Linked DNA regions of Oreochromis niloticus. The protein of the gene in region 2 interacts with the protein of the main gene of each other region in a pairwise test. Links are inferred from orthologs where the notes say so. Each region holds a gene or a part of one and is shown on either strand. Other genes may lie near its edges. The genes, in order: poly [ADP-ribose] polymerase 11 and gtpbp3.

Evidence for each region.
Region 1: the proteins of gtpbp3 (region 2) and poly [ADP-ribose] polymerase 11 interact in binary tests that used the Homo sapiens proteins (3 or more experiments, as listed by UniProt). The two-hybrid records come from large-scale screens. The link is inferred for Oreochromis niloticus from reciprocal best matches to the Homo sapiens genes GTPBP3 and PARP11.

Annotation. Positions count from the first base shown.
Region 1 is NC_031981.2:12,135,562-12,146,851, reverse strand, and holds the start of poly [ADP-ribose] polymerase 11, read right to left. Parts: upstream 4,992-11,290; 5' UTR 4,846-4,991; coding exon 4,800-4,845; intron 4,545-4,799; coding exon 4,420-4,544; intron 3,833-4,419; coding exon 3,712-3,832; intron 3,527-3,711; coding exon 3,451-3,526; intron 3,119-3,450; coding exon 3,046-3,118; intron 2,610-3,045; coding exon 2,482-2,609; intron 429-2,481; coding exon 277-428; intron 193-276; coding exon 1-192. Other genes in the region: sodium- and chloride-dependent GABA transporter 2, read left to right, coding at 6,434-6,623, 6,776-6,910, 7,225-7,365, 7,480-7,594, 10,533-10,580, 11,240-11,290. UniProt on the Homo sapiens protein: Mono-ADP-ribosyltransferase that mediates mono-ADP-ribosylation of target proteins. Plays a role in nuclear envelope stability and nuclear remodeling during spermiogenesis. Inhibits the type I interferon activated signaling pathway.
Region 2 is NC_031981.2:1,938,417-1,949,726, reverse strand, and holds the start of gtpbp3 (5-taurinomethyluridine-[tRNA] synthase subunit GTPB3, mitochondrial), read right to left. Parts: upstream 4,754-11,310; 5' UTR 3,657-4,753; coding exon 3,592-3,656; intron 3,283-3,591; coding exon 3,008-3,282; intron 1,568-3,007; coding exon 1,481-1,567; intron 731-1,480; coding exon 648-730; intron 1-647. Other genes in the region: ano8b (anoctamin-8), read left to right, coding at 6,493-6,670. UniProt on the Homo sapiens protein: GTPase component of the GTPBP3-MTO1 complex that catalyzes the 5-taurinomethyluridine (taum(5)U) modification at the 34th wobble position (U34) of mitochondrial tRNAs (mt-tRNAs), which plays a role in mt-tRNA decoding and mitochondrial translation.

The DNA.
Region 1 (11,290 bases), about 10 Mb from region 2:
GTGGTCTGCAGTACATTGGATGACCAACTGTGTATTCTCCAACAAGCACTCTGGCCAGGAACATGGTCTTATAGGGCGGCTCACTCGCAAATATCGGTGGTGCGAGTCCATGTCTCTGTAAGGTGGTGTTGTGTTTCCCTGTGGTGTGACAGAATTTACTGGAGTATTTGGCATCGCGGGCAAAGTAGCTCCCTGCAGGAAAGACAAGAGCGCAATGTTAAAACTGGACAAAAGGAGAGTAGCGAAGTCTTTCATGATACAACATAAAAGATCTACCTTTGCCATAGACATCGCCATGGCTTCCTGTGAGCCGCCAGTCAAAGTTAAATGTACATATAGCTTGTATATTGCTGTGTCCCGTGCCATGAAACAGCATTCGCTCCTCAATATCCAGTGTTCGCTTGACTTTTCGCAACTGTGTTTTCTTCCTTAGAGGAGTACCAAGGAATGACAACATAAAACAAATAATGACTTTGATACTGCATGACTGTACAAAGTTTGATCAGTGAAAAGTTCAGCAACTTTTCCCATGAAGAGCAAAATTTTAATTTTGCCCCATCTATGAAATTCAGGATTTTCACCTTGTGCACCTCTAGATCACTTCCAGTACTGCTGCTATTTTTAGATCATTTCCTGAAAGGCCTGCTTGGACCACTTGCACACAGTACAGAAAGCAAACTTCAACTAAATTCACACGCATTAAACAGTTTGGAAATGGCTGTGGGCTGTCAGCTGTGAAGATGAATACCTTGTACCAATGCCCCTAGTCTCTAGCACTTGTGGCTCAGGTGGTAGAGCGCATTGTCTACTGACTTGGAAGGCCAGTTGGTTGATCCTTGACTCCTACAGTTTGCATGGTGAATTATCTTCGGGCAAGATACCGAACCCCGAGTTGACCCTGATACATCTGTCGCAATGTGAATGTGAGAAAGGGCTTAGGTATAGATAAAAGCGGCATATGAATGTATGTGTGAACGACACTTGTAATACAAAGTGCTTTAAGTACTATTTTAAGCAGAAAGGCGCAATATAAGTACCATTAAAACAATAACAATAATAGAAACTGACCTATGTGGTTAGGAAAAGACTTTTTTGACATTTGGAAGATGTTTCTGGAGCTATTAAAGACTGGGGACATTGAGGAACTGGAGAGAGAGAGTGAAGTAATGAAAATATGCAACTACATTTGGGAATGTATACAGTATAGACTATCCTGTACTTTTTTTTGTATTTTATTTTATATTTTTTTAAATTTCCTTTAGTATTATTAATATTATTTTTATTATTATTATTATTATTATTTTTTAATTTGTTTTTTGAATGTCTTGTGTTCTTAGTGCTTTCTTACTGCCATGTGTTCAAGGTGTTAAAAGTGTTGGATGTTTATGAATACAAAATTCAATAAATATGTTTACAATAAGAACAATAATAATAACAACAGTACAGTAATTTATTGTGTGTTGACATGTTAGGATGTGCTAGCAAGTGAAAAAAAACCTGAAAACAGCTTTTGTTTCTGACCCAGTCACCTTGCACTATATTCACCTCGTGGGGAATACAGGTAAGCTTGATCTAACAATGTATAGAAAATATGTACAAACGTGGGCTTCGAAGTGGATAAGGTTCCGGTTCCACTGAATGGTTATTATCAAACAGAAAAAAAAGAGTCCTCTGCCTTTTCAGAAGGCCGGAATGAGCAGCCAGCTCAGAAACTTCCCAATCACAAAGCGTTTTCATCATCATCATCATCATCATCATCATCATCATTTATTTATATAGCACTTTAAAAACACACCTGGTAGACCAAAGTGCTGTACAATACTAATATGCACATAGTAATAAAAAAATAAATAAATAAAAATAAGAGGTATATGTATAAACTGACGCCTTTTAGTGAATTAATTTGTTCAACCACATAAACTTACAAGTGCATTGTGAATTCGTCCCACGGGGTCAAACTGGCATTACATTTCTGGGACATTTTTGAGAAAAAATTTGGCACAAACACCCTGAACTGTAGCAGTTGCCAACATGCCACTGCATGCCCACACAGCCAGCACTGTAAAGGCAGGAGTTTTACTTCCTTTGCCCTATTCAACAGACTTTGTTTTCCTTTATAAAATGAAAATTAAATTACATTCAAGTTGAAGAGATGCCTTTTTGACACAGTGCAGGTGATCCAGTGTGAATTACAGATGCATACTGGAAATTTCCACGAAGCGATCTAGAAGTAGCACAAGTGCACATTGTGCACAGGAGACGAGCTTGAAGAAGACGTCGGCTAAAAGGGGTGGATTCATGGAATTCAGTTCAATTCTTTAATTTATGCTAAGAAAAAAGCCAGCATCTTTAATGGAAATTTGGGAAAACTAGAATTTACATTTTTCCCAGTGTCACTAATGGAATGCAATGAAGTATAATTAAGGCAGTACGTACAATGAAACATTTTTCCTCACAAAAATGTAGAAAATAATATTCTACCTGCAGAAGAACTCCCATAAATCCAGGTTCTGGATCCTCTGGATGGATTTAATTGGATGATCCATTGTTCTTTCATACAGTCTGGCTACTTCTTTAAATTCATATGTGTCTCTGCCAAGCTGGATGAGCTGCAAAGGCAAGAAACACTCACATAACTCTACCTTTTTCTGCAGTGTGTTTCAAATATAGATATATATCTATATATATATTTTCCTCTTTTTCTCTCTCATTTGCAAATGTTTGACCTCAGGCTGAACAAAGTTGGGAACTTCTGGACTGACAAAACACTGCATACAATCACATGCACACCCTTCTAAATGTTTTGACCAGTCTGCACTGTTTTTGTAAGAACCCCAAGTCCATGTCTTTGATTTTTGAAAATAAAGCATAACGAAGTGTAAGAGTCTCAGTGCTTCTGTAGCAACTGCATAACCTTTTATTCCATGTTTGTCACTATTTTTACATCAGAAATCAGAAGAACATAAAGGTATCATCTCAATACTAAAAATGTGTGAACCAAGCTAAGAGGAACAATAATATGTGTTTCCGTACTTCTGTACTCACCTGATAGGGCTCATCTGTGTTTATTCTCTCCCAGTGACAGGGAACAGGCAAAGCGAGATTATCACAAATAAACCTGAGAGGATCAACAAAGGAGAAGAGTCAGTAAACAAATCACTGCATCAGAATGAGAATGGATGTGTTTGCTTTATGCTCAGACACAAAAATAATTCAACGCTTGCAAAAAAAAGAAAAAAGAAAAAAAGGGGGGCAAAAGGCAATTGTTCTCTTTTCTTTTGTTAATTTCATTTCCAGGATTTTAAGGACAAGAGATGCTTGACCCCTAAACTTCCATTTAATACATGGTCTTCTTAAACCCCTTTAACATAACTTTTCCGTGATAGCAAGTAAATAAAACCAAAATATAAAAAGGCTCTCTGGATGTACACTCAAACCATCAAATCTTACCTAAATCCAGTTGCAGAGTGGAGGGAGCGTTTGATCGGCCGTTGCTTTCCTGTTGTTACATTTATCTGTCGCATAACTGTTTGGGGATTTAATGACAATTAAGTGTTCATGTGCAATTTCTTTAACAAAATAAACAACAGAAAAACTAACTCATCCTCAGTATAGAACTGATGTGACGTGATTTCCTTTAAAGAAGCTTTAACACTCTCAGCCTGGATAAAGTACCTTTAGAATTACTTTAATTAACTCATGAGTTTGCACCTGAGAAGTCCAGTCTGTATGTGTACTTGGCTGTGTAAAACTCCATCACACCACGCTGGTTCCTGTTGTAGCACTGCTCAATCTGAGCGCTGGTCACAGAGCAGGCTGCACTGGGATCAATCTGACAGGGAAATAAAAGGAAAATAAGAGTTAACCAGCCAATCAGTTAATTAACACTTAGTTAAGAGACTTGATTCTTTATTTAGGTCAAAGGCTTAAAATTTATCTGAAAAAACATCAATTTTTTGGTTTGACTTAAAGCTCATCTTATAAATCGACACTTATATATTTGGTGGTTTGAGCTACTGGTGGGATAAATAAGACAGCTGAGTGTAACTCGCTGTCAGAAACTGATAAACCAGGAAAACACATTTTAAATGTGTTCATGGATTTTTGATGCATCATTGTTAAATTCCTTTTAATTGCAGTTTAACACATAACCTAAGTAGTGTTTGGAAATGAGAATGGCAGTTTGCTGGCACATGATGGCCATTTTTGTGCCTCCCTATAATCAACCCAAGGCAATGTTTTGTTTTTTTTCCCTTTCTTTTTCCTATAAATGTATTGATGATGAGCTAAAGGGGGGAATAAAAACCTGCAGAGTCTGGCAAAATACGACCAAAGGAGGGGCGATATGCTGGGCATACAGAGTAAAGCCAGTTACAAAGTCTGCTATTGTGTATAAAGTTGTGGTATCATGTGAACTACCTCAAACATATGCCACACTCCACACTCAGCCAAGTAGAACCAGCACCAGTTGGGCTCTGAGGTGTCCATCTCCTCAATCTCAGTGGACTCCTCCTCTGACGATCTGATGGCTAACATAGCTAAATCTGAAATTAATAAGTGAAAACACGCCAACACACTTAGGCAAATAGCAACTAAAATACAAGAAAGTATGGGGGAGGGCCTAAGGTGGTGTTTTGGTCGTCAGACAGTCCTGACGTTGAGGACTTGTTTTTAGCAACGGTCGTGAGAGCATTACATCCTGTAAACAATTTCATACAATACAGGAAACTGCCATGTTGAACTAAGCTATCATTAGCGGATGCCGCACCCGACTCATCTCAACTCTACTGGTGTCTTACCAGTTTTCAGCCTGCCTCTGTCCTTATCGGAAAACAAAGCCTTCATACATGATCAACAAAGCCTCAGAAAAATCACAGGTTCCGTCTAAGCTTGGGGGACTGACGAAAACCATTTTCGTTATCCTAGGCGTTGTTTACTTTTATTTCCCCGTTCGTCATACACTCCACGTCAAAGCGTAGACGTCATGTAACTCCTCCCTCCTTGACAACGGGACACTGTTTCCCGGAGTTTGTCCTGACAGGCGCACTACCGGTGCAATACTGTGCAATGTGATACGGCTCAGGTGTTTTAAAGTTACAGACGCGGTAAAATAAATAAATAAATAAAATAAATTAAGAGGAATGTATGGAAACTTACTTACTAAAGTCATTACCCCCCCTCCCTAAAAAAAATAAAACAAAAATAAAAAAATCGAAACGTCGCTGTAATAATCTAAAAATCGGGGGTAATAATTAGCTCAACCTGTCATTTTTGACTTATTTGTTTTTCAGTGCAGTCAATAAAACAAATAAATTGGGTATTAGGTAAGCTAAATAATGACGGCAATTATTATTTTTGCCATGTATACTCAAACCATCAAAGCATTATTTTTTCTTGGCACCTGATTGTCTCGTACACTACAGAACCAATTTATAATTAATACTTTTCAAACATTAGCACCCTTGTTATCATTTCGGACTGTGCTTGTTCGCTTAGCTCATGTAGCCTATTAAAACGCTGACATGTTTTTTTTAGTGTATTACACATCACTGTGTAGATGGCACAGATGACAAAAGAAACTGTTCATAAAAACCAGAGGAATGAATAATACATACATATATTTCGTATTTTTCTTCTACTCAAGCTGCATATTCAAAGTCCGGCATTATTAACTTTACTGTTTGACTAGCAGTTATGTACAGACGATAACACAGACAACATAACAACAACGCATACGTACATGCAACGTACAACCAGCTACTACACATATATATATGGTGGAAGAATTTGCATGTTATAAAATTAATTCCTAAAAGCTGTGTCGATGTTGATAATCATGGTACCCTAGGCAGTTTATAGCAGCATAATTAAGGCCGCTAGAAGTTAGGGTCCAAACATACATAGCTTACGCTAATATCATTATTCTACGATAATACACAATCGTGCATAATTTTATTCCATCTGACGACAATAAGTGCAATTTCTGCAATTACTTGTGCATAACACACTGCACTGAGATGGCTTTTGTGTGCATGTTGTTGAGACGTTTGAGTAAAATCCACGAGCATTTTCGTAGGGATGGCACATCCAGAGCGTGTGTGGCTACTTGTCCTTCAGGACACACCCCTCAATAGAATGAAACTTTTCTGCAAACTTCGCTCATACAGTCGAGGAATTTCACTGTGGCGCTCGCTGCAAGCTCACTGGTAAGTTGCATCAATTCAAATCTCCATGTGAAACTGGAGGAAACAATTAAATGCTATTTTTGTGCCTTTATCTCTTTAGTAAGCTTTATTAGGGCGAATGTGAGGCTCATCAGTTAAATTACAACGCTCATGATTTATAATTGCATGCATGCAAGAACGAGCTGGGGGAGAATATAACAGGTATGCCATGATATTTATTTAAATGCTGTACAAAAGACAGAAAGACCATGACTGAGGAAACAACCGGGAATGTTCCTGCTGCAGACTCTGAGGCAGATAAACAGGCTCCTGAGGAAGGGGCTCTGTCGAGGGAAAAATGGGCCAACAACATGGAGTTCATACTCTCTATGGCTGGTGAAATAATTGGCCTCGGAAATGTTTGGCGGTTCCCCTACCTGTGCTTCAAGAACGGAGGAGGTGAGAGGTTGGGTTTGTGGGAGAGTTTTTCTGATGGAAACATTCAACTAATAGATAAGGATTAGGAGGGCCTTCATTAAAAAACAAAAAACGAAACAAAACAAAAAAAGAAACCCACTTGCTGATGAAATAGTTTGTGTCTATAATTTTAGGTGTCTTCCTCATCCCCTACTGCGTGTTCCTCTTCTTCTGTGGCATCCCCGTGTTTTTCTTGGAGACAGCGCTGGGACAGTACACCAGTGAGGGTGGGGTGACTGCCTGGAGGAAAATATGTCCCATGTTTCAGGGTAAAAATAAGGCTCACATTTAGGAACTGCATATTTCTGACAGCGCTTTCTTCATGGAAATTGCAAAAACAATAGTGTAGCAGTTAGCAGTAAAGAAAGTCACATATACAAGGCTAAGTCTATATTTCCAAGCTTCAGATCCAGTAGCTGACTAAGGTGTTATCTAACTTAATTACATAAAACAGAGGATTTATTGACCGTGCATGGTGCTGGGAATTGCTTTTGTATAATGTTTCTGTCTTCTTGTCATAAAAGAAAAGAAGACAGCAGCCAAAAATGTCCTTTAACTGTCTGAAATGTCACTTGTCCTCTAGGGGTGGGGTTTGCGTCCCAAGTGATTGTGATCTATCTGAACATATACTACATTATTGTTTTGGCATGGGCTATCTTCTACCTAATAAACTCCTTCAAAAGTCCCCTGCCCTGGTCTACATGTGACAACTGGTGGAACTCTGGTAAGAATGCTTGCTTAAACCCATCTGTATTTGATAAGCAGGGATTTTTTTTTCAAGACTTAAGAGAAAACAGCTAACATTCTCACTTTTATCCCTCTTTCTTTAATCGCTGAGACTTGTGCCACAGTCGCATGAGCATCTTTGCAAACCCCCAACTCTTTCAGGCCGGGTCCAACTGGTCATTCTTACACAACGTCACCTCAATGGACTACTATGAGAATACAACTTAGTAAGTTGCAATTTGTTTTTCTGAGTTGTACAAATTAACTGTCCCCACTCTGTCTGCTCAACTGAAATTTTTTTATGTGGACTTGAAAAGAGTCTGACTATGAAAAGCTTAATAGTAATCATGGGATTAAACAGCACAATAGCATCTCTGGAACGCACCCATGCTTTACAGTAACATCTGGAAAGCATTCATGGCACTTGCTCCACGTTTTGTTATGTTACAGCCTTATTCCAAAAAGGAGTAAAGTCATGTTTTACATCAAAATGCTACACACGACACCCCATAATAAAAAAATGAAAAAAGTTTGCTTGAAATTCTTACAAATTTATCAAAACAACCTGCAGCTCTTTGTTGCATGACTTCCCTTCTCTCTCCCCACTGTCCTGTCTATCTTCACTGCTCCACAGTCCAAAAAAGGTAAAAATGCCTATTTTTTTATATGTCATGGCATTTAAAAAAAAAAGTTTTTAACAAATTTGCAAGAATTACAAGCAAACTGCTTTCACTTTGCAATTATGAGGTATTGTGTTTAGCATTTTAAAGTGAAAAAAATAATTGAATTCATTTTGGAATAAGGCTGTACCATAATTAAATGAAGGACAAGCGAAGCACTGTGAATACTTTCCAGATGTACTGTAAATGTTTTTCAGGGTAGGAAATGCTTACTTTCTCCTACCTTGGGATAATATAAGGATAACATGACGGTGAAAAGCAACCCAATAAATCTAAAGGACTTGTCAAGCTTTAGTTTAATGTCAAATGTTTGAAAGGTGCCACATTTAAGGTATATTTAATGCAATGTCTTCTCTACATTATTATAAGCACTGCTTTGGATATCCCTTTACTCCTCTTTGATTGGACATTTTTGTGATATTTCTTACTAAAGTGGACCTATTTTTCCTTATTTTCTGACACATAGACCTCACTGATGCCTCATCACTTACACCTGTTTAAATGGTCATTAATGTAATTATATAACAGACCAGTCACATGACAGGAACTGTCACTGGACATCTACAGCAGTTATCTCTTGTTGATGCTAGAGGCTATAAGAGAATGGCCAAGCTGCTTTGAGCTGACAGCAAGGCAATGGTAACACTGTTACTTGTTACATCCAAAGTGTGCAGAAGAACATCTTTGAACAGACAACACATTGAACTTAAAGCACATGTGCTACAGTTGCATAAGACCACACAGGGTGCCACTCCTGTCAGCTGAGAACAGGAAATGGAGGTTACAATTTGCACAGGCTTGCCAAATTTGGTGAGCCTGTGCAGGCTATTGTTGGTGGCATAACTTGATATTTTCTTGGCACACTTGGGAGCCCTTGGTACCATCTGAGCATCAGTTAAATGCCACAGCCTTACTGAGTATTGATTGTTGACAATGTTCATCCCTTTGTAACCATAGTGTACCCATCTTCAGATGGCCGCCTCCATCAGAATAACACACCATGTCACAAAGCTCAGATTTTCCTAAACTGGGTTCTTGAAGATGCCAGTGAGTTCACTGTACTTGAATGGGCTCCACAGTCACCAGATCTCAATGCAGTAGTGCACAAAAACTCACTTCACCCTTTAAAGCCTGTTAAGATCCCAGTTACCTCTGTACAGAAGTCTGGACTGGGTCTCCATTGAAAGGGTCTGAGTGTCTGATCCTAGGGGTAGTACCACAATAGTTTAGATGATGCACCACACTACCAACCCTGAATAAGGTACAATCAGTTTTGCGAGCAAATTTGCTACAAAATTTACTTTGGTGACTTGGACAGGTGGGCCCAGGGATCTGTTAATTCTTAAAGGCTAGAATAACCTATAAGAACCTCACAAAAGTAGATGTTCAAACTCATACCCAAGTTTTACCTTTTCATTTAAAAAGAAAATCAAAAAGGGAATGTCCACATAATTAAGTTTAATTTCAGATGGGATACTTTACTAAGCAATTTAACAAGGGCAAAGCAATCAGCTCATCAATTATTAAGAATAAAATCCTTTTAAATTTTAAACATTTCAAGAAAAGTAACACATTTTAAAATATAAAACAATGAAATCTAAACTGTTGCTAATAACTCATTACCAGTTTTGATGAGGCTTTAGTGGAGGACAGAGAGAACACCCTGGCTGTAGAGGAATTGTTTCAGAAATTCTTTCTGAGGAGGTAGAACCCATTACAATGTTCCCAAAACTTCCTCTAAGTCCCAATCTATGATTCCGGTAGTAAGCAGAGCAAATCTCAAAAATAGTGAATCCATAGTGGGTTGGAAAAAGAAGGATAAATCCACTGAGTTGTCTTCTAATCTGCTCACTTCAACGATGGCCAGAGGAAAAAACGCCTAATCGTTATCTATAGAGGGTTTTTATACATCCTCTGAGACAACCAACATCCCACGTTAACAACCAACCACCTGGTGTGATGTGCAATCACCCGATTTGAGACATATCAGACAACAGACAATTATTTAGGCTGGGTCCTTAGATGCACACACAGAGGTCAAGGCCACATCTGCACAGAAAGAGTGCGTGCGCACACACACACACGCACATGCAGAAACAGTGTGGGTTGAAAAGTTTAAACATTAGAATTATTACATTTTAATAATTATATTCTTAGTTTTTGATTAGATTTCCGATTACAGCAAGAATAACTCAAACATTTTGTTTGTTTGTTAGGATGAAGTAAAGGCCTTTAACAAGTCCCATTATGATAAATATGGATTATTTCAAACTGCGAATCAGGCAAAGCTACTCTAGTAGAGTTGAACAATAAAAATCTGAAGCCAAAAATGAGTACATAAGATCCACTTAAAATTAAAAACACATTTACTATGAAAATAAACGTGTTTGTGGTCTTTATGAAACTGTTAGATTGTTAAAGGACTATTTGAAATTAGTGTTTAATTTCACCCCTCCTTATACACTTGTTTTTTTTTTCTTTCCAGCAATGAAACAATATTGATGAGCACGTCACCAGAAGAGGAGTTCTGGAGGTTAGAAACTCACTCATTGCTTTATTTTCCTTGAACATTAGAAGAGCTGGACAGTCACCCTCCCTATTTAGCTTGTCTTTGGGTGGAAAATTCCTCAGCAATAGCTTTCAATGCTTCCCAGATATCAAAAGATAATTGTAAGTTAGAAAACACGGTGTGAATAGTGAGCCAACAGAAGGTGAACCGAGGCCACCCAAATAAAGCAAGCAGCCAGTTACATTCCTAAAAAGACATAATAGCACTGAATAATAGCATTTTTATTGAACTTCCAACTCTCATTCAAAGTTGTTTGCTCCTCTCTCTTTTAGACATGTTGAAACATGGCTGTCTCTTTTCACATGATAACCTCCTGATTTTGTGTGAGAACAAATATTGGGAAATCGCTCAGCACTACAACTGTGCTCCATAATGAAAACAATATGTGCTCTTTGCTGTGCCCATTTATAATGTAAACCGTATCCATCCAAAATAAACAGGGAGCAGTTTCAACATCTGTATTCATGTTGAGATGCTTAGTGCTGTTCTTTTGACGTATATATGAGGATCTGTTTATTTGCAGTGGGAGAAGATTTTAAGAATGGGGGTTTTAGGGAGCATTCATCAGCATTTGGAGAGCATGCATGTGTTCATGTGTTCTTACATGTCTCTTTTTTTCATAGTAACCGTGTGTTAAGAATATCAGAAAACATGTCTTTGGGTAAGATACATTG
Region 2 (11,310 bases):
AAACATATTTGCAAACTTTGATGCGTCCATCATCAGAGGCTTTTCCAACACCAATTTTAAAATGAATTGTGTTCACTGACAACAGTTTTCAGAAGTGCTGCGGGCTGTTTCATCAAGTGTTTTTCCCTTATTATGTCCATTAGGTGTTATCTACAGGAAAGTGCATCCTGCTGCTGTTTAGAGAGGGATGTCGCTGCCACAGAATAGACACCCAGGCCAAATTCCTTTCAGCACCAATAAAACTCATCTTATCTGAAAGTTCTGCGAGCGTTTGGCTCATCTGCAATTTTACTTGTCCTCTCAAAACAGTCCATTAAAAACTTTATTAAATTGTACGTGCGTGTTATTCATATCCAATGTACTGTGTGAGGTTAATATATTGGTTTTTTTACGCTTCACAGAAAATCCAAACAGACTTTTATTAATGCTTCAGGCTGTATATTAAAAAAAACATCTACAGAGGCCCACAGTTGTTGCATTAATGCGGGAATATCGAACAACTCAATGAAATAAAATTGCCAAAGGGGAAAATATGCAAAAGGAGAAGATGTCCCTGTTTACATTTCATGCGTATGAAATCCCCGAACAGGCCGCTATAATAACTCTAGATGCACAACAATGTGTTTTACACATTCCTCTCGACTCGCCTCCGTTAAACCGAGTTTCCCTGCTTGAAAAGCTCTCCGCGTGAACTCCCCCGCTTCGGCCGGCCTCAAGCCAGGCACGCTTCCTGAAAAACACACGTAAACACAAACACGAAGAAATGTATGAGACACGAGGTAGGCATGCATCGTGCACACAATGCACACACGGAGGACAAAACACAAGGTCAATGACTCACGTAGAGAGCAAAAACAGGCACAACTACAGGTTAAGTAGGTTATGGGTTCATTGTTTTCTCAGACACTTTGCAAATCTCATCAGGAGAGACAATAGTGAGTGCAAAACCATTTGGCAAACGTGGGTCACCGTCTCCTGATTAGAGACATTTTACCCGACTGATCTCGCCGACAATCTCAGTGTTTTTGGTTTCCAAACAAAGGCAACAATTTTATCTGAATGAACCTTGAAAACAAAGGTAATGTAATATTAAATATTCCTCCCTGCTTAGAAAAACACCTTACAGCGCATAGACTGACTCTCTGCTTTATACAATGCTGCCCCCTGGGAGGTCAACAGGAGAACTGCAGTAAAAACATCAAGCACAGAAGGATGGTCACGCTTGCCACAGCGCATATTAAAAGTATCTCAGACACGCCGATGCATGCGTCAGTTCTCTGTTTTAAGTCGCAGTGATGGATAGCCGCCTGACTCCAACAGATATCGTACTTACGGAGGCTTAGAGCTCAGGAAGCTACAAAGACTCAAACTTCAAAACGCTCTTCAAAGGGAGCGCTGCATCTCAAGTCTGCATATGTTTGCTTGTCACATTGAATTATATCAAGTTGTTGAAAACATTATACTGAGAATCGCATCTTACCAAGAGCCTGTAAGACAGCAGTAATGACTGCGGGACCTCCGTGGATATGGAACTCCACACTATCTTCTCCGGAGAAACTACGAGGAGCTGATGAAACAAACAAAGGAATAACAACACTCTGTGGGTCCTTTAGCTATTTACATAGTAAAGAGAAATGAAGTGAATAACAGGCAGGACGTGACATGCTGGAAAGATTTATTACTGGTTTTAGATAAAACACAGCAGCCCTCACTTGTGGGTTACTGACTTTAAATGTTAGTGAGAAATGATGTGGTTTTACCAAACTCTGTAATGTTGTTTAGAGAATGTGTCCCACTTTTAAAGCAGCGCACCGCTCTATTTCCACCGTTTCCAAACAATGCAGTGAAAAAACCTTATTTCACGAGTGGAAAAACATTTGAGGCAGATACTAGACTTCTCAGGCGTAGACCTTCCACCAAAGTCACTCCAAGCTCAGATCGTGCTCAGAGAAATGGGGGGAAAAAACGAAACAAAGAACTACGTCTCAGACTCTGCAGGCCTCAGTTAGCATGTTCGGTTTGCATGGCTGCATCTGAGCAAATCACAAGCCTTCTGTAGCAATGTGCTTTAGGCAGATGAGACCAAAGTGGAGAAACACAGCATCTTAGCACAAACACTTCAGCACAGTGTTGGAGTGATGAAGGTTTGGCCACAGAGTGTGGCCACTTTGCAGTCCCGGAGTCGAGCATGAACTCCTCTGTACGCTAAAGTCTTCTGGAGTCAAAAGTCTATCAAAGAGCTAAACCTTGGCCAAATTAGGTCCTGCATAAGGACAAAGATCCCGAGCACAGCAGTAAACCGACAACACAATGGCTATAAAAGAATCAAGGTGCTGCGATGGTCCAGACCTGAGCGTGACTGAGATGCTGGGACCTTAAGAGAGCTGTGGCTTAATAAATACCCACAAACATCAGTGAACTGAAGCACATTTGAAAAGAAGAGTGAGCCTACATTCCTCCACAACAATACTTCAAGCTATTGCTGCTAAATGTGGTTCTACTAGTTCCTGAATCATGGAGTGTAGTTAGTTTTTCACACACTGCTTCCTGGTACCCAGGACTCAGGAGAAACTGCTGATCCTCTCTGAGGCCTTCCCCAAACCGCAGCATCAATCAAGATCTGTGCTCACTCCATCCATCATCCTGTTTCAATAAGCACTGTTTAATCAGAACTGAGGTGTGGTCCCTGCCTGAGGAATAATGACACTGTGTAATACATCAAACGGCAATATTCATCTCAGGTTGTATTTACCTACTTTTATTACCTGCCAAACACGACATCATTTTTATATTGTGTACTGATATGTAAAACAATAACACTGGCTGAGGGAATACTTCCTTTTTTACCATAACTAAGTACGAGTCTGTCTACATATCTGGGACATGCTGATACAACTTTGGACATGAATGTAACTTATGTGCTTCTAAACAAAAACATATCCACATCCTCATATTCTCAGACAAAAAAGAGAAGAACAAAATGTAAGAACGGTCCAGTGGAACTGACCTGGGAACCACAGGACGAGCCCACGGTCCAGCACTTCTGTGGAGCGGGGGTCTGTGATGCTGCGTAACAGGGCGGTGCGTGGAGGGGGCAGACGCTGCGTGAACCCAGCCATACACCTCAGGGCCGTAGCTGAGGCGGGACCACTGACACGTACCACTGCCACCCCACACCTGCCGTGCCCGGACGACAGCGCAAAGATGGTGTCAGCATCAGCCAGTGCAGCCGGGGCTCCATCACAGGTAGAGGAGAGGAGCCTGTAGGGTGGAGCTCCACGGCTGGAAATAAGAAAATGACTGATTCATACTATAACATATTGTACATCTTGTTTTCAGTTATTATACCTCTATTGTATTATTTAAACTCAAAATCAAAGTAATAAATAAGCACTTAAATAAACAACACTGCAAGTTAAGTCAGTGTAACAACGAGCATTAAACTTGTGTGGGTAAAAGTGTGGATAAATAATGGAAAGTGCCCAAAGAAATCAATGTAACTATATTTTAACAGCACTATTTTGCTTCAGTGAATGCAGCCATAAAAATAAAGACATGAATTTGACATAGAGGCCGGGAAACAGAACAAACCTCGTCCTGACTGTGTGCACAGCAGCTCTCCATATCCCACCACACACGGACCGCAGCGGCAGCATGATTATGAGACACCAAACGTTTCATTTATTTGCTGCTTCTCATACAGACTGACACCCAACACATTATTTCCACTTTGCTTCTTTTCAGTTAACGTCGGAGTGTCTGTGAAGCTAATGTTAGCTGCCAAATCCGAACATTCAATCATTTGCGTCTTATCTTCTGTTATATTAAAGTATAATGTTCGTAATTTACAAACTCATCCCGCTCGTGATTTGTCCTTCCCATCTTTCAGTCACATTTAAGTAGCTCCTCCCACTCTTGATTCCGATTGGTTACCGTTTCTCCTAACGACAGCAGATTAAGCTCTCCCGTTTGTTCAACGCTTGTCAATCTAGCATAAGCCACGCCTATCGTACGCTGAAAATTCGGTCCGTGTGACTATTTCAAATATGATCGGTTCCGGGATCATAGGTCTGATTTTCAGCCTTTTTTGTTGTTTTATATCACGTTAAACAAATACATCCGTTTAAAAATGTAAAAATAAAATTTTGGTTATTTTATGGAAGGAATCTGTTTGACAGTAATCTTTTGTCCCCCACAAAAGTAGCGTTGCATGAAATAAAGCATGAAAATGACTCGTTGTTTAACTTGAAATTGTGTTGTGATGTTTACAAATCTTCCTCTAATATAAAGGGATTTTATGTGATTTAGGCCACAAAACGATTCATTAACACTGTCATTGGTGTACATCGATCCCTGCTGCAAATTCCAATGTTTTACTTTTTGTGTATATAACTAATATCATTATTATTGGGGCTATAAACATTTCACTTTTTATCACTACTATTTAATGTTTTACTTATGTTTACATGAACTCAAATGATTAACTCAGTGATGCACCTGCTGTCAAAGGATCTACTGTTTGTGCGATGTCCGTGCCAACATGTCTGTCACCTTTGTTTTGTGGTTAGTATATGGAAAAAAGGAGGCTGTAAAATTCAGTTCAGGACAGACCAGAGTTTGTTTTACTGCCAATTTTCTTATCAAATCACCGAAGACTGGGGGAAATACCTCTGGCACATTATGCAGAATGCACATGTTATTGAGGACACAAATTAGCAGTCAAGTTTTGGTTTTTTCAGCACAAGGTGGAAAATATCGCTTAGTGTGTGAGAATCAACAGCAGTGCAAACAGGGTTATTCTTACAGCACTACTATTTTTAATTTATTTTTAAATGATAAGTTTTACAGTATTTGTTTAGATTGCGTTCTGTGTTTATTAAAACTAACAGTGATTTGATCTGTGGTTCTTCATATACTACATAAATGCGTGCATGTAACAGAATATAAACAGAGCATCTGTTTATATTCTGTGCATCAGTGTGTGTGTGTGTGTGCGTGTGTGTGTGTGTGTGTGTGTGTGTGTGTGTGTGTGTGTGTGCGCCCCACTGCAGCGTCTTGCAGCTGTCATCCCAGAGTGGTGAGTAAGCAGAATTTGTGCTCACAGATGAGATGCTCCATACGAGGGGGCGGGCTGCCAGCCTGCCTCTGTAGCCGCACAGTGAAACACGGCCTCCAGGAGGGACGACCAAGATGATAGATTGTGTACACGGTGAAGAGGCATGGCCCGAGGCCTGGGAGCAATCTTTAACCTGGGATCTAAATAATTTATAGACTGCTCAGTGTATGCACAGAGCATGACAGCTGCCACCTCACAGCTGCAGAATACAGTCCAAACAGAGACAGTTACCTCTCAGCCCCGATTATGATTCAAGGTTATGAAATGATCTTTGTCTACAACGATAGCTGTGTTCACCTTCCTTGCACACACAAGCACTCCTAACATTTGCTTTAGCAACTCCCCCACAGGTTGAAAAAGGGGCAAACACAGTAATTAAAGACAAAGCACATATTTTACCTGCAGAGGACCATCTGACTCGCTCTGCTGTAACAACATTTATTTTGAGGGATGTGTGTCTCTTTAGGGTGGAGGACTGCTCTTTGCTCTCTTTTCAAGACAGTGTGACCATGTAAACTGGCCTTATTATAGCGATACAGTGATGGAATGACCAAGCTTATTATGCAGGAAAGCAAACATTGCACAGCTCCACGCTGTGTTTACTGTAGAGTGTTTGACTGAGAAGCGATATTACCGGTAGCCACACCCAAGTGTCACTAAAAATTGAATCCATGAAGATATTTTTTGCACAGCCTATTCAGTTTTCCGGTCATACTCAAAGAAGAGTGATAGTCTATGAAAGGATTATCAAAGGCGTGCACATTAAAAGATCATCTGAATGGGCATCTTGCCTGTAAAGTAATGTCATCACTGTGAAAACCATGCATTTTGAATGAGTTTTCCTTTAATGTAGCCATTTGGATTCTATTTTTGTCCTCGATCTGCAGCCTGCGAGGTGATAAAAATACATTTCTCTCAGAGATGGAGGAACCGCTACTACATGCATGCATAGATTTTTAAATTCCTACAGTGTGCGTGGTGCGGCTTTGTTACATTTAACAGTTTTGCTAATGCAACCTGAGACAACAATCAGTCGCTAAATCAGTCATCGACCGTGAAGGTGCATGTGTGTCACACAGCCCCCTCCATCCATCCCTCCCTTCCTCCCTCCCTCTCTTTGTCCCTCCTCCTGTAGTGGTTGGAGGAGCGCTCTCCATCTAACCGCGCATCCTGCTCCAGAGTACCACCAGGATGATCCGCCGCTGCGCCAACGCCGACAACCTTCACTTCACTTTCATTCTCATTTAACCCCCACTCTGACCCCCCACCGGCCCCTACGCTACACCCATGCTTTGCCCTCCTCTTGAGATGCGACACCGCTGCACGATTTCCCGGAGAATACCTTCATCCTCAGTCGCTCCTCGCTGATAGAGAGCATGCCCGACACGGGGACGGCAGCGGCGGGCGCTGCTGCAGCCGGGGCGGCCGCCGGTGGCGCGACCACCTCCGGGGACGGCCCCGAGAGCTCCCGGCACCGACACCGAGCGCCGCAAGGAGACGCAGAGAGGCCGGATCCGGGCTCGGCTCCGCCACAGACCTCCTCCGGCGTGCTGGGTGAGTGAGAGGAGGCGGAGGGAAGGACAGGTGAACGCGACGCTGTTGGAAAACGAGACAAGAGGCGCACTGCCGTCGCGCACCTCGCGGTGGCACGGTTCTTTTGTCTCCACGAGGGCGTCCCAAAATCAACACCTGGTCAGGCAGCAGGCCTGTAAACGATGGCTCTGACTTGCATTTCGTGCTGTTTCCAAAAATCACTGATGTGATAAAAGGTGTTCAGGAAAAATGGCCACTTTGGCACATCCGAGTTATGACCTTCTGGTCGGTTATTGTTTGTTTAGCCCATTAGCCTGCCTCCTGTTATGAGCCCATTTGTTCCCTCTGGGCAGCTGTTGTTGTCCATACTGTCCTCACATGCGGCCTTGATTGGCTGATAGTTAGCCTATTTTTATTTAAGGGGGTCCTCTCTTGTCAAGGTTTAAGGTTGTTTACCTTCGAGATCACTTTACTCGGCATTTCCGAACTATTGCAGGTGGACCGCACTATTGCACACAGCGTCGCGCACCGTTATTTCCTCAGTGCCAGTTTCCATGCTATTGGACAGACTCGAGGACAGGTGCCTGTTTAATCTGCTTTAAGATCGTAGTGTTTGCTTTTTTCTTGGTTCACACCTCCTCACATTTAATTGTATTTTGGTCTCCGGTGCTGTTCTTGTATTGGAGGCTGCAAGAAAATAAAAATCATAAAATCGACTTTTCCCTCCTTTTTATTTACAAAGGATAAACAGAATCAACCTGCTTCATGTTAATACTCCGTGCCTCTGACAGTGGATTTGAACAGCCCATATCTTAGTTGTCTCTTTGCAAGATTTACAAGTGAGGCTATTTTTGGATCAGACCACAATATTAGCTGGGACAGGGAGCCTCAGCTGCCAAGGCAGGATTGTTTTCCTGCATGCGGGGTGCAGAGACAGCCTCCGTGCCTCCTGTGAGTACTGCTGCAGAGTGATGCAGTGGAGCAGTGGGCTGTCAGCAGATGAGACCTTCTTTCCACTCTTGGTCGAGGTAACCTGAGCAGGCAGCTGCCGAATGGAAGAGCAACCTGTCATCCAGTTGAGAGGGTGGCACCCAGTGGTCCTTGAATGGGTTACAGGCTGTTGGAGGGCCGGTGAAATGGAGATGAGTTCAACTTTACGGTGGTTCGACAAGCTAGAGGCAGTGCCGGGGCAAAGAGAAGAGACTAGGGCTTTAACTAGAGGCCGTCTACAAACATGTGTGGGACAAATCTAAATAGTATCAAGTATGCAGAGCTGTACAGAAAGCTAGCATTGAATGCTTGATCAGACTTCTAACACTGTGTTGTTAATCTTCAGATCAGTCAGAGGAATCACAGTTTTATTCAGATGTTGGTTTTGTTTGACTCTATATGTTTATTAAGTTTAATAAGAGAAGAAATGAGATTATAGAAAGTCCCCGTGCTTCCCACAGTGCAGGGACAGTAACTAAAAGAGGTTTTATATTAGCTGTACGCCAGACATAATGCTTCCAAAGGTTTCTGTGACATAGGCTCGGAGATGTTTATTGTTCTCATCTGTGCTCGAGAATCTTATGTGTAGAAATAAACATCAACATGTGTGGCAGGTGGTGAGGTGGTTAGCACTGTTGCCTCACTTAAGAAGGTGCTGGGTTTGAATCCAGGTTTGTTTGGTTTTGTTTGCACATTCTCCCCCATCGGCTCTCTCTGGGTACTCCAGCACAAACAGGGGGATTGGTGAATCTCAGTACGTGAGCATGGATGGTTTTCTGCCTCTGACAGATTGGTGACCTGTCCAGCGAGCTGGAATAGGCTCTGGCTCCTGGCCCATCCTCTTCAAGCCTGAATTAAATAAGCATAAGAACATAGATGGATGGTTAAACTTCAAAACCATCTACAGTGTGGGAATCTACATGAAAACAGATACTTTAGTGTAATAGTTTCCCCAGCATTACAGAAACATGCATGTAGAGAAGCAAATAGTGGGAAATGTGAGGATTTTCACAGCACATCTGGCTCTACTATTACACCTGCAGTCGTTCAGTGAATGAAGACTGTTTCACAGATAGCAGCGATGATGAAATGATGCAGTGACGTTTCCATGAAGCAGTTCTTAAAGGGGTAGTTCACCACGAAATCCAATGTTTTTCCTCTGAGCTGTGCTGCTGTGAGCTCCCAGTGTTGGAGTTATCAGACATGTGTGCTTTCCCTTAAATATGATGGAGCCATATTCGAGAATGTGAACTGTATCGCCGTGCAGAAGCAAGAGTGCCTTCACCCGTGACGAGAGGCTCGCGCTCATGGCAGTGTGACACGATGTAAACATTAATGCTGTTCCCCTAAGCTGAGCTTAAATTTGAGCTGCAAGCTTCCATCGGCTGTTAGGTGAGAGAAAATAGTTCCTACGTAAAGGTTTGTGTATTGTTTTTGAGTAACTGGGTCAGGATTTCTGAAAAGAGACACTGCTGCAGAGTTTCAAATGTATTTTTCTGCAGATTTGCCATTTTGTTCTCCTATTTTTATATAAAAGTTGAAATAACTATAAGATTTTGGAGTGACCTGCCCCATTTACTTATAATAAATACTTGTTAATTACATAAACAAAGGGAAAACCATGCAGCCAATAGCTCAGGGGTGTCCAGCTCCAGGCCTCGAGGGCCGGTGTCCTGCAGGTTTTAGATGTGTCCTTGATCCAACACAGCTGATTTAAATGGCTGAATTACCTCATCAACATGTCCTGAAGTTCTCCAGAGGCCTGGTAACGAACTAATCATGTGATTCAGGTGTGCTGACCCAGGGTGAGATCTAAAACCTGCAGGACACCGGCCCTCGAAGCCTGGAGTTGGACACCCCTGCAACAGCTACTGTGTTTTTAGGGAATCAGCTACATTTTTTGTCCTAACCTTCTCCTTTAGTTTGGTCACTGTCATGCATAAACAACATGCATGCTTACTAAACTCATAATCACCCACATCTGTCACAAACTATGAAATAAAAACAACAACCCGCTATCCAGCTATCAGTAGTTACTGCAGCAGTGACTGTAACTCCTTCCTGTGTCTGTTCTCCTGCATGGGTTATGAAAAAGAGGCTCTGGGACTTCAGTGGCATTACTACGATATCACATAACGCCCCCGCACGTGTCAGTGTCAGTCAGCGAGCAAAGCACAAGGGCAGGGTGACTTCTTCGTGCAGCTGAGGTCTTGGTTGCGCTCTGGAACCGAAAGGCTCGGATGCTCCATTGTCTCCGTGCCTCCACCGTATTTTGCTAATCTCTCCCACCGCAGTAGTCTGGCATGACTTTGATCCTCGCAGCCATCCTCCTTTGTAGCCTCAAAACTCAAAAGCCCGCGTTTCAAGGATTAATTAGGCCCCAACGTTAACGCCTCACCAATTAGTTTGTGTTCCCTCTGAGGCCAGTGTTGATAAGATTTGTTATGGAAATTAGGCCATGCAATTTGTGGTTTAGGATTAAGGACACGTATGCGCTGAGGTTATTCCTGCACTGATAATGGTTCACTTTTTTCATGGTGCTGTTAAAAGCTTCTTTTGACCCCAAACACCAGTTAGTGGATTGTAAATGTGGAAGGTTTTTTTTTTATAAACTAGCCCAGAATTTGGGAATAAAGATAAATGTAACTTTGTGATGACAGGAAAACCCGTGTGATCATTTATCTGATGTAAAATCGAAATACATTTGACAGTAAGTTCACAGGTGATAGTCCGAAACCATTCTTGGACCCCTGCTTTATCTGAAACTCTAGTCTGATCCAGTGGGGAGACTGGAGCGGCCCATTTCTATCCCTGTAAACTTGTCTGGCCTCGTCCTCATGAGAACAACATATTAAGCAGTCAGCCGTACACTCTATGCCAGAGCGCCGCTCTCGCTGTATCTCCGGCTCTCTCTCGCCTCTTCAGCGAGTTGAATGCCTCAGCTTTACCTCAGACAGATTTAGTCAGGTTGAGTGTCACACAGGTTGCTTTAAATACAGCAGCGTGAGGGGAAAGCATCCCACTGAACTTCCTAAAAGAAGAGCTGCTTTTCACAGCAGCGGCAGACGAGCCTCTGCTTTTGTGCCCTCCCACGGCTTCGTAATGAAAGGGCTGATGAATGTCGTGCAGTATGATATAATGACAGCAATGCGTTGTGCCTAATGACTCTGAACTTAATGTCTCTCTTGCATCTGCCTCCTCGCCTGTGTCCCCCGATCTTCATCGCACGCTCCACAGAGATGTGTTTCCTGTTCCTCCCTCTCTCCTCGCCTTCTGGTGTAAGCGCTGAGCTGCACATTAGCTGCATTAGCAGTCAAGGAAAAATGCCTCTGTGTGGGGTGACCTTGCTGCTTGCGATGCTGTAGCTTTATCAGCCTTTCCCTGTTACGTCACACGCACGCACAGCTGACTGATCGCTTTGGCGAACCAGCTTTTGATGGTGCGAGACGTTTCCTGCGAGTATTCCCGAGACCGTCGGCCTGACTATAAAATGAAACGGCCCGCTCTTTATACGAGCAGCTTGCCTTTAAATTGGGATCATTTAAAGTCAAGCTGCCGACCAGATGATATTAAACACTGCAGTTAATGCTGCAATGATTTTCTGTCGATGATGACAGCGGCGGTGTGTTTGTGGAAACAGTGGATCTTTGTGTGTGCCAGAAAAATGTCAG